Linked DNA regions of Caenorhabditis elegans. The protein of the gene in region 2 purifies or fractionates together with the protein of the main gene of each other region. This does not show direct contact. Each region holds a gene or a part of one and is shown on either strand. Other genes may lie near its edges.

What was found.
Region 1: the proteins of rpm-1 (region 2) and ppm-2 purify together in Caenorhabditis elegans (affinity purification with western blotting; one study listed by BioGRID). This does not show direct contact.

Annotation. Positions count from the first base shown.
Region 1 is NC_003281.10:4,647,369-4,656,052, reverse strand, and holds ppm-2 (putative protein phosphatase 2C T23F11.1), read right to left. Parts: upstream 5,560-8,684; 5' UTR 5,556-5,559; coding exon 5,453-5,555; intron 5,131-5,452; coding exon 4,840-5,130; intron 4,289-4,839; coding exon 4,064-4,288; intron 4,016-4,063; coding exon 3,870-4,015; intron 3,820-3,869; coding exon 3,745-3,819; intron 3,367-3,744; coding exon 3,283-3,366; intron 3,070-3,282; coding exon 3,000-3,069; intron 2,946-2,999; coding exon 2,869-2,945; 3' UTR 2,167-2,868; downstream 1-2,166. Other genes in the region: T23F11.2 (Major sperm protein), read left to right, coding at 651-658, 895-1,367, 1,417-1,697; dbd-10 (DB domain-containing protein), read left to right, coding at 8,217-8,291, 8,434-8,589.
Region 2 is NC_003283.11:8,815,443-8,822,835, forward strand, and holds the start of rpm-1 (E3 ubiquitin-protein ligase rpm-1), read right to left. Parts: upstream 4,514-7,393; coding exon 4,327-4,513; intron 4,259-4,326; coding exon 4,035-4,258; intron 3,594-4,034; coding exon 3,160-3,593; intron 3,022-3,159; coding exon 2,577-3,021; intron 2,431-2,576; coding exon 2,286-2,430; intron 2,235-2,285; coding exon 1-2,234. Other genes in the region: C01B7.7 (T20D4.11-like domain-containing protein), read right to left, coding at 6,424-6,477, 6,519-6,935, 6,979-7,116.

The DNA.
Region 1 (8,684 bases), on a different chromosome or scaffold from region 2:
TTTCATTCCAATCTGCACAAAAATATGCTTACGAGAATAATGTATAGAGTATTTATATAGAGAGAAAAAGCTCAAAACTTGAAAAAACGTCTGCAGATTGTAATGTGTTTTATGTATGCGTCATAGGGTGTTCTGCACGTGTAGAACATGTTTCGTGTTGCTGGAGCAAAATGCAAAGTACCCCTAATTAGTTGCACTTTACAATTCCCTGAAACAATTGGACTGGACGAAGAGTCAAACTCTTTCTTTCTTTCGGAATAGTAATGACGACGCCAACGCAAACTAAATTTGCTCGTGGAATATGGTGTATTGAGTTGGTATGCCAACATTATACAAGTTGACCTAAAAACAATGAACGGCAGTTCAGAGAAATTGTATTATATGGACGCATGTCAAAAAAATTTTTCGTGTCGAGGCCGAGTACCGTATTTCTGGTGCAAAAATCCGTGTAATACAAAAAATAAACAACTTCTCCATAAAACAGAAAAAAAATTTCACGTTAAAAAAAACTAACTTTTAAAACACTAACAAAGGTCAATGTCGTCGATTTGTTATCAGACAATCAATCAATATGCAAATCAATTATTCTCGATTTTCGAAACTTGAAAAGCAACTCGGACCGCCCGTTCTTCTGCTCATCAACTAATAAGATGCCCTGGTGAGTTAAGATTTTTACCAACGCAGTTAATTCCTGATGTGTTCATCAAGAACCTCATAGAATTGACATTATGGAGGCACGCCAACGAAATCAGGCAGAATGTGCCCCTTACGAATTATCGTTTTCGTAATTTAGGCATTGTGCCCTGTCTTCGATGGTTCGGGTTTATTGTGCCCACTGATGCATTCTGTGCTCATTGCAAATGAACTATAAATTCTAAAATTTCAAAATTTCAGTCAAAAGAAGTCAAACCCAACGGAATTGCACATCTCCACTGGCCGCGAGATCGTTCAACGGAACTTTGTGTTCCGCAACACCACTGGCAAGGACTTCCTGCTGAAGTTGCATGCTACGAATGAAGCCGTCACCTTCCCAACGGAAGTTTTCCGTTTTCCACCATTGGCTCATCGTGCCATCCAGTTCCGTGTGAACTCATCAAAGCTCTCCCAATGGGACAAGATGAATCTTTTGATCAAAGGATACGTGTTGCCGATCTATGCGAAGAGCCTCAAGCAGTTCATTGATCAGAAGAAAACTGCAGGAACTAAGGAGCAAGAGGCATTCTCATTGTCTGTCAAGTTCACGGATCAGTTCTCGGCTCCCCAGACAGTCATCAACTTGCCAGGATATGCCACGTGTATCGAGTCGACTGATTATCCGGTTGACGTGGAAGAATTGGACACTACAACTGCAGTCAACATCGAAAGAGGTACAGATTGATGCTTTGGTTCAAACTAATTAAAATCTTTCGATTTCAGATGTCTCCACTGCTGTTCCAATTGGTTCAATGATGGGATTTGTTGAGGAGTACAAACGTCGTCAATTGAACAAAGGATGCTGGTTTTCCAACTACATCTGTGGAACTGAAAAGCAACCGGAGAAGCAGTCAATGAGATCTTCTCGTAGATCAAGCCGTTCGTCGAATCATTCTGCAAAGAGCTCAAAGGCTTGCCGTATTCAGGCTAATAAAAAGAACAAAAGTGATGTCAATGTGTGCCTTGAAGCAACTCCGTGTGGTGGATCAACTATTCAAGCTTAGATTGAACTGTGAATGGCACTTTTGTATGATTTAATGAAATTGACTTGGTCGGGTTTCTTGAATATTTTCAGTAGCTTGCACTAACTATAAGCTGAAACATGTAATGTTAAAGAGACAATTATGCCTCTTCCATTTTTGGAGATCATTACGTCGCCTTTCTTGGAATTTCAAGGAGGAATGAGGCTTCTGATAACTGTCTTGAAAAACTAAATGAAGTCACACGGTGTTTGGTAAGTTCAGTGGTACGGTGAATGTAACTTAACAATTTTCGAAGCGCCTACAGAAAGGTGTGCGCCTTTAAAATAATACTGTAGCTCCCAGATCTTCATTTTTACGAAAATTTCCATACATTGTCTTACAATGTTTTGCAATCACACAAAATAACCTATTTTCAGATCTTCCATGTTTCTTCCAATTGCACCGTCGAAAGTTATTGCCTTTTTTATTTTGTAGGAAAAATTGAATAACATTCAATCATAAATTTTTTTAATCATAATCATAAAATCAATGGGAAGAACAAAAAAATGTGAAAAGAGACAAAAAGAAGAAAATACAATTGTCTAATACACATTGAAGCACTAATATTTCGAGTATTTCAGTATAAAACGAGTCATCTCACACTTTCAATGCTTGGGAAACAAAGACGCGTCATGGAAAGTGGACGGCTGATAAAAAATCATATTAAAAATGGGAGAGTAGGAATAAGACAAAAAATAAAATTTGAAAAAGGGATATGCAAAAGTTGGCGGGATGAACAATAGAGGACAACTTTTCATGTAGTGAAATTCCTGAATTTTTTCCAGATAACTCACTGCAATCAATTCATTACAATTCTAGAGAGATTTTGGCATTTAAATTTTTTTGAAATTATTCGAAAGGTATTTCAACCGGAAAATCTGTGAATGAAGAATGGGGGAAGAACAAAGAAAGTAAAATGCTATAAAAAGCAAGAAAAATTATATTGTTAACGTGCTCTATAAGGAATATTAAATTTTGGGTGGTTTTTGTTTTGTGAAGAAAATTTTTTGTGAAACATGATAATTGAGCAATATAAAAAACCAAAAGCAATGCAAGATAAAAAAGTAAATTCAGCACTATCACAGGGGGAAATCGTGTTATTTAATATTCGATATTTACACACCAAATATTACTCCGAAATTTTGCGAATTTTCTAAACTTGGAAGTTGGCTGGCGCTGGTTCATTGTCATCCTCCTCTTCTTCTTGATTCGCAGCGTTTACCCGTTGTTCTGAAATTTGAATATTTAATTTTTGAGAATTCGCGAAGCTTTTTCAACTAAAACCTCCATCAAAGTTGTTTATCACACGCGAAATATCTTGCTGAATTTGATTTTGATCTCCATCCTCGTTATTCTTCAAAAAGAAACACATCGTTTTGTTCGTCGAATTTCTGATTTACACAGATATTCATTCATTTGGTTAGTATTTAGAAGAAGAAGCACAACTATTCTAAAAAGGTGTTCTTTTTGAGAAACTAGTTTAATTCTATAAATTTATGTGATACTAACTACTGAAAAAATGAAAAAAAGAGGAAGAAGCAGAAATAATTTTCAAAAAAAAACTCACAACACCCGTAAATACCGCTGGGCGGGCACATTTCGTGAAAAGTGTATCTGGGGATTGTCCATGAAGAAGTCCCACGAGAACAACCTGAAAAATAAATATTAAATTTTTTAAATGTGTATATTTCGTTAAAATTCAACATTTTAATTTAAAGTCACATGCCGTTTTTCTTAGTAGGTCTCACCACGATTTCAACTACCATAGTCTAAAGATCTTGCAAATTACTGTAGTTTTTTTTTAAATTTGGCTGATTTGGAATCTTCAAAGATTTTTATTGATTATCTTACAATTTGTTAAAATTTAAGTGTTTCAAATTTTTTTGTTCCAGTTTAGTTTCTCATTAAAAGTTTTAACGAAAACTTATGAAAATTTCGAAGTTTGAATTTACTGTATATTTATATTTCAAAACATAAAATAAAGCTGATAAAGTGTTTAAAAATTTATTTTTGAAAAAATCAAACTTACAGTCATATTATCGCATCCGAGACCACCCATCTGACAATCTGGAGCCAAGCACCGAGTGAGAAGCTCTTCGCAAATCTGAAAATGAGAGAGAATACGAGATATTTACTTTATTTTAATCAACTTACCGATTGTGGATCCCTCTTCTCAGCAAGCTTCTCACGAACAAAATCTACGACTTCCTGATTTGTCATTACATCCCAAATACCATCACATGCAAGAACAATAAACTCGTGATCCGGTGTCAGCTTGTCAGTGATCACATCCGGGAATGCTGAAATTAAAGAACTTTTTTTAATTTTTAATTTCAAATTATTCTCACCAGTGACAATTTGCTCCTCAGCAGGCTTTGTGTCACAATTTTTGAATGCAAAATCTCCGAGAGCACGGGAAAGTGCCAAATTACCATTGACACGATTGAACTCAACCCATCCACCGGCGGCAATGATACGTCGAGCTTCGGTTTCATGAGATGGCTTGTGATCGAATGAAAGTGGACGAGCTTCTCCAACAACTGAGGATACTGCACGAGAGTCACCGGCGTTTCCTGAAAAATGGAGAAAAATTAAAAATTGACATTTAAAAATATTAAATCCTGGTCTTCCCTATACAGTTTAAATAAATATTTAATTTCAACGTTTTTTTCTATGTCACATAAACAAATCTGTGAAGTTTGAAGCTTGTAGGGATTACTGTGGCTGAGATCGTGGTGGGACCCACTCAGAAGTATTAAAAAATCAGCGTACGATTTTTACAACTTTATGATACACAGTTATCACAAATGTGTGCGTAATCAAAAATTAAAATTTTTGAAAAAATATGGAAATGTGTTTTTATTTTCTGTACCAATAATTTTTCTCCTTTTTTAAAGATAACTTTTGTAATACCGTGAAAGTTCAAAATCTAATAAAATTTCGAACAATATGAATTCTAATACTGCAAAATTCGAAGCTTGGAAGTTAATTTTTTATCGATTTTTACTGAAAACTGTTAGTCTTAGTATTGTGATTTTTTTGAAAAATACTCAGTGTCTTTAACATTTCCTCAATTTCCTTCCATTGACGTTTCAAGGTCAAAGTGCAAATCCGTGTCTCTTACCACAATAAACATCTCCCTCCTTTATCAATACAACAACTGCTGTCGTTCCACTAACATCATCCTTTGTCTCTTCATCAACTCTCATCTGTTGATCCAATTCTAGGAATCCTTTTTCGATTGCTTCTTTCATATTTCCCTCGGAAAATTCCTTCTGTGCGACGACTTTTTTGTGAAGATTAATTCCGGAATATTGTGAAACTTTCGATCCACCGTGTCCATCGTAGACAGCAAAGAATGCACATTTTGGATCATCAGGAAGAGAAAGGAGATGTGTATGGGCATCTTCCATGTCTGAAAAAAAAGAACATTTAGAACAATTTATTGAACTAATTATCATTTTTGAAGATAGTGAAGCTAATGGATTTTCAAGTCGCTAAGTACCTAAAAATGATGAAAATGATGAAAATGAGCTAAGGAGTTCTGTCTGAAGAGAAAGGGACTAATATTCGCTGATTTTTTTTTTTAATTTAGACTAAACATTAAAACAAATTAATTTCGCTATGTTATTTCTTGATTACAAACGTTTAAAATGGAAGTAAACGCTTAACAATATCCTAAATTCCTAAATATCCTAATTTATTTTATCACATTTTTGCTCTGATAACTTTCTTACCAACTCTCCATCCCTGCATACAACTGCTACCGACCAAATAATTCTCATTGGCGCATGACGCCGACTCTTTTTTAGTAACTGGCTCACTGAGTGTTTGTCCCATACTTCTGAAAATTGATTTTTATTTTATTTCAGTCTAAGTGCACTAAACAGTACTTTCAGCGGGAAAATTATGATGTTTGAACGATAGAAAAATGGGAAAGAGATGAAAAGACGAAAAAAATGCGAAAATATTTGAACGAAAAATGATCGAAGGGGGCGTAAGGTTATCACAATTTCAATGCTACCTGTTCTTCAATAAGGAAAGACTGATAGAACGTGTGTCACGTGATCAAAAGATAAAATGGAAAGCGTTTCCGAGAGACAGAAGAAAATTATGGAATTTTTCGATAGTCTATTTTCCAACAAAAAAGAAGTTACTGATAAATTTTTTGAATTGTTCGAAAAATTGTATTATCACAAATTTAACGGAGCAAAGTTCAAAATCGATGATGAAATTTGCATAATTTTGAATAAAAATTGAAAAAGAATAGTAGTACTGTACTAAAGGCGCAACGTGGTTAGCGAGTGGGTCTCACGACGAAAGATCTACAAGGAGTTTATTTAAAGTATCAGGCCTGGTTTTCTAAATCACTTGCTCATATTTTCTTTTGGGAAGTTTATTTCCGAAGAAAAATTGCGAAACAACTACATGATGTTCCCAAATTTAAATTTCGATAATTTCAAAAATGATTCCCAATTTTCAAAAATGTTGTATCCAAAATGCCCGCCGCCGCCGCCGCCGCGACTATTAACCCTCACAGCAAATAAAGAAAAGTTGAAAAAATAAAACGGCAAGACAAGCACAGTGATTTTATTGTATTCTAACCGATAAAAGTTTTCGTCTCAAGACCACGTGCTAGCAGGAAAAAAACGGCGGTCGGCCGGGAAATAAAAATGTGACACCAAGTTTCGGTTCTTCTTCGTTGCGTCGTTGGACGTCCCCGCGTCGCATCGAAACAAACATTGATACCGAGACACAAAAAGTGACGAGAGAAAAGACCGACAAACGGACACTAGGCTGCCAGGCGAAAATCAATAGGTAGTGAGAGTGTGTGAAGGTGAGAGGCACAGACATTCCGTTTCTTCTGTGACCACGGAAAATCACATGGCGCTGTGCGGGGAAACCCCCTCATGTGCGGGAACAACCCGATGCAGTTGCGCTCTAATCGACGTATGAAAAATCAAGGCAGTTTATCACGTTGACCAGGTTATCATTGGGGGAGAGTGATCAGAAGACTACAAAGGTATCGTTGTTGTTAAAATTGTTGAAATTCAAAATTTTAAAATAGCAACAACAAGTATTTTCAATAATATATGCTAGTTCCAGTGTACTTGTCAATAAAAATCTAGAAATGACGTGATTGTTTTATGTTGCTTTATGGAATTTATCATGTAAAATGTTCAACAATTTAGAAATAAATGTACTTAAGGAACAAAGCGATATATGAAACATTGAGATAGGAACGATGTATCTGAGACACAAAACCTATAAAGACCAATTTTCAAACTATCGCACAGATTGTGTAATAAATGTCACTGCAATCTGTGTGATGATGGTTTCTTACATTCAAATTATTATCAAGAATAGTGGTTTGGAAATTACGGTTGCCAAACATGCTACTAATGACGCACATCAGGTTTCTGGATGAAAGAAAATTTGAAAACTGAGCAAGCTTAGTTTAAAGGTGGAATACGGTCAATTGGGACTTCATGATAAACCTCCCAAATGAGATGACAGAGCAAAATATTATCAGAGGTTAGAAAAATCTCCAATTTTGGTCAATTCACAGTTATCATTAATATTTACCCTCGCCCATTTTTTTGGTGCCGCACTTGAAGTTTCTCCATTTTGGCTCAAATTTTCAAGTGAAAATTATTTTTGTTGAATTTAAGACATGAAATAAATGTTTACACAGAAATGATACCTTTTTTTTTGAAAATTGGAGACTAGACGAAATTTTGAAAAATGTAATTTGTTGGGTATCTACGTGTACCTAACCCTCAACGTGGATATGAAGATCGTGTAACGTGAACTCATTATCTATGTATACTAACTTTCTATTCATTCCTTAGTTATGTAATAATAAACTACTCGTCTTCGCCTCCTTGTTCGGCCTCGAATATATAACATTATTCAAACGAGAACATCTATCACAATTGAAAATGTGCCAAAATTAGCAATTTCCATCAAACTAGATACAGTTGTTTTGTTTTTATTTTGTAGTATTTTGGCATTTTGCACTAGCGTTATTCCTCCTTTAAACTTCAATTATAAAATCACATATCTAAATTTTCAAAAAAAATATTTTAGCAATTTGCAAATAGAGACACAAGCAATATAAATAACCATCAAAGCGTGGATCATGTTTTGAAATAACTGTAAAAAATGACAATTTTAGAAAACATTTACAACATCATTCTTTAACAAAGTTCCAGAAATGCAACAGAAAGGATGTCTCATTGTGAGAGTTGATGTTATCAGTCCTCACATGAACATAATTGACGTCTCATTTCCGGTTATGACGAGCAATTTCGTAACTCTCGATTTCCAAAACTTTCGATTTTTCCCAAATATTTAGTGATTCATATAACAATAACCATTCTTATTTTCATAATTCTTTGTTTGTGTCCCGCTTCTTTTTATTATTCTTTAGCAGTTATTTGTTCAGGATTTCTCATGTCTTTCGTATAAATTATATTCTTCACAGTTTTGGATTCTAAAATGAAAGTGTCTGGTAATACTTTAGTTCTTTCGATTTATTCTCGTTTTATTCTTTTGATCACGTTAAGCTATGCTGTAAGTTTTCTTTTTTAAAGATATTCTGTATGAAGCGGGATAGAATTGTTTTGAATTTTTTAAAATATTTTTGAATTTTTTCTCATTTATCAACGCGACTCCTATAAAAGTTCACTAAATTAAAAAAGTCTTATTTGTTCAGTGTCCTCCAAGTCTTGATAGTTTGAATCTTCCACCACCAGTAATTCATAGAGAATGCCTAACAAGAAACAGCTGCCAAAATGGATATATCTGCCGATTGAATAGATGTGTTGGTGGAAGAGCATTGGCAAGTAAAACTAAATATGTGAATGAAGAGGTAGGTTCTTTTCTAGTTTTATTGAAACTATGAGAAAATTCTGTTTTGAAATATGTATTTAAAATATTTTTCGGAATTTACGGAGTTTTGTTGTT
Region 2 (7,393 bases):
GATTGACAGCTGTTTATTCGAATCCGATTCGTCACGACTTTCAGATCCACCGACAATTTGATAATACAGCTCCGGAATCTGTCCAACATCTACGTCAGTTCCATTGTTTGACACAGCAGATTTTCGAAACTGAAATGTTACTCCATCGCACTCGACATGACGTTTTCCATTTGCTCCACAATCAGAAGAAGGACCACTTATCTTTGCACTGACTACATGCCAATGATTTGGTTGAATAACTATTGGTTGTGAGAATAAAAGAGTTGCAGTCTCATGTGCTCCACAATCATAAACTGTTTCATCAGTCTCAGTGATCTGCTCCACATATAACTCATCAGCTTCTGTTCCAATTTGTCGATATAACTTGAGCTTCGATATGTATTCTCCTCGTCCTCCATACAGCCCAACTCCTACTAATCGAATTTCCTTGGAGACTTTAAATTGGATAGCTTCAACAGAATTTGCCGAGTATCCCCAACCACCTCCCGTACCATCAAATCGATTTGCAACTGAATAACCATCCATAATTGTTTTCTCGTGATCCTGTTCTCGTTCCCCATGTTTTTCCTTCCAGAATTCAGATAAATTGATAACATTTGCTGAGAATGTTGCTGATAAAAGTTGCATTCCAAGACTCATCGAAGTTGCATAAGCAGGACTGTCGTACACTTGGACAGCAAATTCGGCACCAGCTAGGAAAGTTAGGGAATCAAATGCATCGCCCACAGATTTTTCAGATTTTTTGAAAATGTCATATCCTTTGATTTCCATTTCTGCTGAATTGTAATACCACAGCATGTCATACTTCGGATCAGTGGCCCATGATGTATACCAACATTTGTAATCGCTCGCATGATGTTCAAAAACATTCAACTTTCGTCTTATTACAATGTAGTCTTTACCAACTTCTCTTGGGAAAATGAAAATATTCGTTTTGTTTGCAACAATTTGAGCTTTCAGAATATTATCAGAAGATAATAAAGCTGTATGACTATGGATGATTGAAGAATCACCATCGGCTCCGATCCATCCAGCGAATGCATTGAATCCAGGACCAAAACCAGAAACTTTTTCAGGGATCGCATTCCATCCAGCTTTCTCGCCAGCTGGTCGTGCTAGCTGACCTTTTCCAAATGCACCAAATGTGAAAACGCTTCCATCATTTGCCCTCAAAATTGTGTGATTTGAACCAGCGGCAACTTGGACTATAACTGTATCAGATGGAAGAATGACTTGCTGCGGAGTGTTTTTGCTAAGTGTATCTCCAACTCCTAATTGGCCATGGCAGTTGGATCCAAAAGTGAAAACTCTTCGATCAGATGCAAGAAGTACTGTATGAAAATTTCCACAGCTTACGCTTGAAACTTTTACATCATGAGGTCCTTGACTTAAAATTACACGTGACGGATGTAGAGTACTTCTTTGAGGAGCAGCTGTTGAACTGAATTGCACATGCTGAGCTCTACCAGGCTGTGCTGGTTCTGTAACCTCTCCACATGGTCTGCAAAGTCCACATCGAAGGCATGTTGACTCTCCAACACCGCAATGACACATGGTTCCCTTTGGTCGAGGAACTCTTCCACATGCTACTCCTCGTGCGGAGCAAAGCCCGCATTGAGCACATACCGAGGGTGTGTCAGTTAGCCACGTGTGTTCTCCGATAGGACAAATCTGATACTCTTGACGACCGGAATGTCTTGGAGAAGACGTGGTTGAAGTTGATTCAACTCTTCCACATTGATTCATATTGTTCAATCCCCATGTAAAAAGATGGCCATTTCGAGTCACAGCAACACCGTGAGATTTTCCAAGCGCTAATGAAGAAATCATCACATTATCCAGTCCATTTAACATTTGACTTGAAACATTCACTCTCATTGTATGAAGTCCTCCCATGAAAATCTTTCCATTTTCAGATACATATCCATAGACATGACCAGAGGCGCAAACATGAACAATTTTCCGGCGATTAGATGGAACAAGTCGACGTAGTCTTCCATTTCTTTTCTTATCGTCTACACTTGCAATCCAACCATGCCCTGCACCAGAACGAAACATTATTGTATCAATTCCAACAGAAATTTGAACTATTGGCTCGGGAAGACACAGTTCCATCCAGTTGTTCCCAGTTTCAAATAATCCGAACCTTGTCCCGTTTCCAGCGTAGTACACTTTTCCAGAGCGAGCTTGAATGAATGCCATTTCTCGAGTGAAGTGAAGATCAACAGTTTGAGCTGAAAATTGATATGTTCAAATTTCCATGTAAACAAAACTACTATTCTTACGATGAAGGTTTGCAGGTAGAAATTCGGGGAGTTGGTGAGGAACTTGAAGATCTCCTTGAATCGTGAACTTCACATCAGTGAGTCGATGACTTCTTCGTGATGATGGCTCATTGGAAGGGGAAAATGAATCATTTAGTTGAATTGTCTGAAATATGTTATTTATAAACTTTTTTGAGCTGTCATGTTATGTGTTTTTATTTCTAACAATAAGTAGAATTTTCACGATTAAAAGTGTTTAAAAATAGTTTCAATTAAATATCTTAATTTTTAATTTGAGAGAATAAATCCTACCGATAGTGTAGAATTGGCAATCAGAGTTGCACTGTAAAAGTATGTTCCATCCGTGAACAGTGCATGTTGTACACAACTTGGTGGTAGAATCACTTCTCCAATATCCAACAATGAATCCGTGTCAATCACTGATATGCATGATGAGTAATTTCTTCGTAAATACAATGATCCATTGCATAAATACATTTGCACATTTTTCGACGATTGTAAACTCTGATTCGCTGCATACAACTTTCCAGAAATTGTTTCATTCAGGCCGGTCCCCAACTTGTAGAGTCCAACATAATTAAGAATGTAGAGAAATGTTCCATCACATGCCATTGTGCTATGTATTCGATTGTCATCGTCGGGAGTGTCGGAAGACGGAGAGCTATCAGGAAGACTAGGTAGACTGAAACTGCTTGCTACCGAGTGCTCGTGAACATCTACCATTGCCCAGTTTGGTCTGAAATTTTGCATTTAATAAAATACTAATAAAACTATCATGGGATTTTGCAAGCTTCTAAGAAATTCTACTAAAAGAAGAAATTTGTGAACACAATACTACATATTTGAATACTTTCAACTTGAATAAAATACTCACGGGGAATTGGCAGTGTTGTCTCCGCCTAAAGCTTTCCTCCTCACTTTCAGTAGTAATTTTCTCAAATTTTCTGGCATTTGGATCATATCATACGTCGAATCGGCGCTCATTCGAATATTTTTCTTCATACAAATTAATGATCGAATTGTGCTTCCTAAATGCTCCGGCTCTCCACATGCAACTGATAAAGCCACAAGGCATGAGGTAGCTTTTGAGCTCACTGAGGGACAGGCATCTTCTCGAAGCGTTTTCAGAACGTGCATCATTGCAGACATTGATAAACGGTTTTCGGACTGAAGACAATCGATTGGCATCGATTGGATCAATGATAACAATGATTCGAGAGCTTGAACACAAAGTTCGGCGTCACGTCGACTTAATTGCTCGAGAACTTCGAAGATACATGTTAAACTAGCTCCAACCAGCTGATCAGTCTGAAAATTCATGAGAGCTGAACCATTTTTCACCTTTTAAAACAGTTTTTAATAAGAAAAAGTATTTCACACACGGGTTCCAAAAAGTTGTAGAGTTATATGTTCAGTTCCATTTTGAAATTTATGGTAATTTAGTATTCCAAAATTGTTTTATTACTCACCGGTTCAATTTCAAATAATTATTTTTCAAACCATATTCTATTTTTAGCGTTTAAAAAGGAAACAATTTTGAATCTAGCTGGGGGGATATCGTCAATGTGTAAAACACGGTTTCATAATTGTTTTTTCTGGTTTCCTTGCCGACCTATGTCCCAGTTTTGCAAGCTTCTTAACTACGTTTCGAAAAAAAATTTAGAAAAAATTTGGCTGTTGACTTTGAAACTTAATTAGAAATTTCAATGTATTTTTCATTTAATACTTTTTAACATTATAAAAACTCACATTTTTGTATTGCTTTCCCTCTTCATCAGCTCCACTGGTTCCGGCTTCCTCTTCGCTTCCATCTTCTTTTTCAGAAACTTCTTCTGGATTCCCAAACCGTGCAAGAATTGATTTGGCAATTGCTACTAAAGCAAAAGGCGAAGGTGGTCCCACAACAAATTTTGAGTTCAGAATATCATGAAAATTAATTTGTTGTTGCTGGTCCAGAGGTGTTTTGGATTTCTCTGAAATTAAAAATTATTTTTATTTTTATTATTTTATACTTCTCCAAACTACAAAAAAATATACTAACCTTCTTCTTTATCGAGTTTCCCGCAATGTGCTGGAACCCTGAGAATATCCGGTTTGCATGTGTTCTCGGCACATTTGTATAGCAATTTTCTCAGTCTTCGTGCACTTTTCCTATCTTCAGGAATCGACGTTTCGGTGCTCGTGGAACACACTCGTTCACCATCAATTTCTCGCAAGAAGAACGACATTTGGATATTCTTTGGAAAGTTAATAAAATTGGTTAAATATTGTGGATAGATTGATTCTCATCATTAGTGATCTGAAAAATTTAACTGTGGCATTTAGAAAAAAAAATAACAGAGAAACTCTGAGGCGTCAATTTCTCTGCAATTATGTGCATTCAGGAAATATGAGGAAAATTGAAGGAAAAGAAAACCATGAAACAATAACTAAATTTTAAGATCACAGGCTTAGTATATGCGCAGATGTGATTTTGAACGTAGCGCCAGTGGGATTTTTCTTGATTTTTTTAAGATTTGAAAGAAAATTGCAATAATTTAACATTTATCCTTACTTTTTGTCACAAAATATTTGAAAGTTTGACAAAAAAAAGGTTCGAATCATATCGCAGCTTTAAAAAATGAAGAAAATCGGATGAAGTTAGCAGGAAAGCGAAATTACTTTGATCGCTTATTCAAGAATAATTTAGGTACGATAATCCAACTCCAATTGAAGAAATTTTTTTTGAATTTTCAATTATCGTAAATATTATAGGCGTTTGAATGAAAATTACCCAAATTACAAGAAAAGAGGAAAAAGGGAAAATTGTGAAAGATTTTTGTTCACCAAGGAATAAAAAAGTATAAAGCCGAGCAAAAGCAATATTGACAGACTTTACTGTTTTCCGTTCGCTCACAAACCACGTGCCTATCCCTTGTTCTGTCCGATCACAAAACGATATTTCTCCGAGACAAAAACGTTTTTTTTAAATAAATGAACAAAATCTAGAACTCCGGGAAATTAAGTTTCCTGTCCGAATCATTTTGCTGATCTGCGAAAATCGAGGGACATTCATAGAAGAGACGAAGAGAAGAAGGTCCCACCCCCCGTAAAAGGGTATGCGCCCGTTTTGTTGAGAAAGGAAGAGAAGTGAGAGAGACACAGAAAGTGAGATGAAACCAAAACGGAGAAAAGAGAACGAGACATAGTGTTGTCTTTGTTGGAGACAGACTCGCTTGTAATGGACAGCCGGTCAGACATGAGAAATAGGACGCAAGGAGATGGAAACGGAGAGCAAGGGACGGGTGTCCCTAGATGGACGAAGAAGAAGGGCTCCGTGCGTGTATTTGTGTGTGTATCTGTGAGAAGTGTCGAAAAGCGGAGATGAGGACAGAAGAAGGAGAAAATTGGGTGTGGGTCCGGAAAAAAGGGAAAAAGATTTGAAATTAGATATGCCAGCTTGGAGAAGCTTTTGTTATTTCTTGAGAGGTATCCAAATCAGATTGTTTTTTTTTGCTGTGGGATATCTGAACAATATTCTAAAATACGGTATGTATTAAGTACCTTAAAATTTACCTGTTATAAGAGTTTGATGGCAGTGTTATTAACAATCTGAAATATAAATATGTATACTGAAATAGAAAAGTTGTTTTCAGCTATTCGAAAATAGACGTAGGTACATAAATAAATCTTGGATTAAGAAAGGTGTAAACAGTGACGTATGTGATTAATCGTATAAGCACCAAATTTTATCAAGTTTTTTTAAAACTTTATTGCAGCAAATTATTTTATTAATGTGGCGTATCCAAAACTATTAAAATTGAATACTTTTGATCTAGTGTTATGTCTTTCAATGTTGTCAACTGCTGAAACATCTGATATTCATCAAGAGTGTCTATACTGATCTATTTTGTTAAATATAATTTATTAAAAATTTCTGAAAATAATTGAGACTCTTGAAAAAATCCATTTAAAACAATCAAAATAGTTCAAAAAGTTCACATATTTTTATTGTTATAAAAATATAATAAAATTGCAATGTTTATCGAAAAAATGAAATTTCATAATTATTTAAACAATCCAAATTGTATAAACAGAAGGCACTCAATAAGTTCACATATGACTGAAAATTATGAAAAACTGGATACATGGATACATGTTAGAGATTTTGAAAATCGCATTGCTTTGTAATGTTGCTTAATGAAACGAAATGCTGAAAAATTGTATAATTTTTGAATTAAAAAGTTATCTTACATCTCTAAATCCTATCCATTCTCCTTCACTGCATGAGCTCACGATTTCTTCTTTCAAACAATTATCTTTTCCAAAAAAGTTTTGGCATGCAGATTTTCTCATTTCTTCCTTTTTCTTTTGATCAGTTTCTTTTTCGATATCATTTGGAAATGGATCCCAGTTTTCAAAGCATTGCGAGCTTTTTTCTTCTAATTTATCACTACATTCAACAAACTTTGTGGAGATGTAAATGATGGTATCACAATAGGTTTTGATCATTCCAGAAATATCAGAGGTTTCGTGATCAGTTGATGAAGTTTGACAATCAAGAGCATCAAAACAGTTGTGAAGAGAGTCACAGGAGCCTTTAAAATCATTTGTTTCTTCTTTATTGTCTAGGTCAAGTGCATCAATTTTCTCCAGGAAATCTTGCATTCTCTAAGAAAATAATGTTATTATAAACAAAAATATTTTAACTCACAAAAATACATGACAATGCTTTAAGTCCATCTCCAAGTGTGCAGTTGTGATCCTTGCTCTCTGCAGTTGCTAAACTTGCCGAATCTACCAGATAAAATGATATCGCCGCAAAAACCACAATTGAAAGAAATCTTCGCATTTTTCTAGAACGAGGATTGTTAAGTCTTTCCAGAAATGACCAGAGGCTGAATAGCAGAAATCGAAAATGTTGACCAAATCGAGTACCGAGAACAAGCGGTGGTTCTCAAATAAAAAGGATTTAGAATTAAAAAAAAAGCAAACTTCGTTTTTCGTTCAGAAAGTTTTTTAATAAGAAAATAATTATGGTAAAACGTTAGGTACCAACAACAAAAAATAGCTATAAAAGAATGATTGCCTTTGCCGCCGGAAACGGCTTTCCGGCATTGAACCAAAAA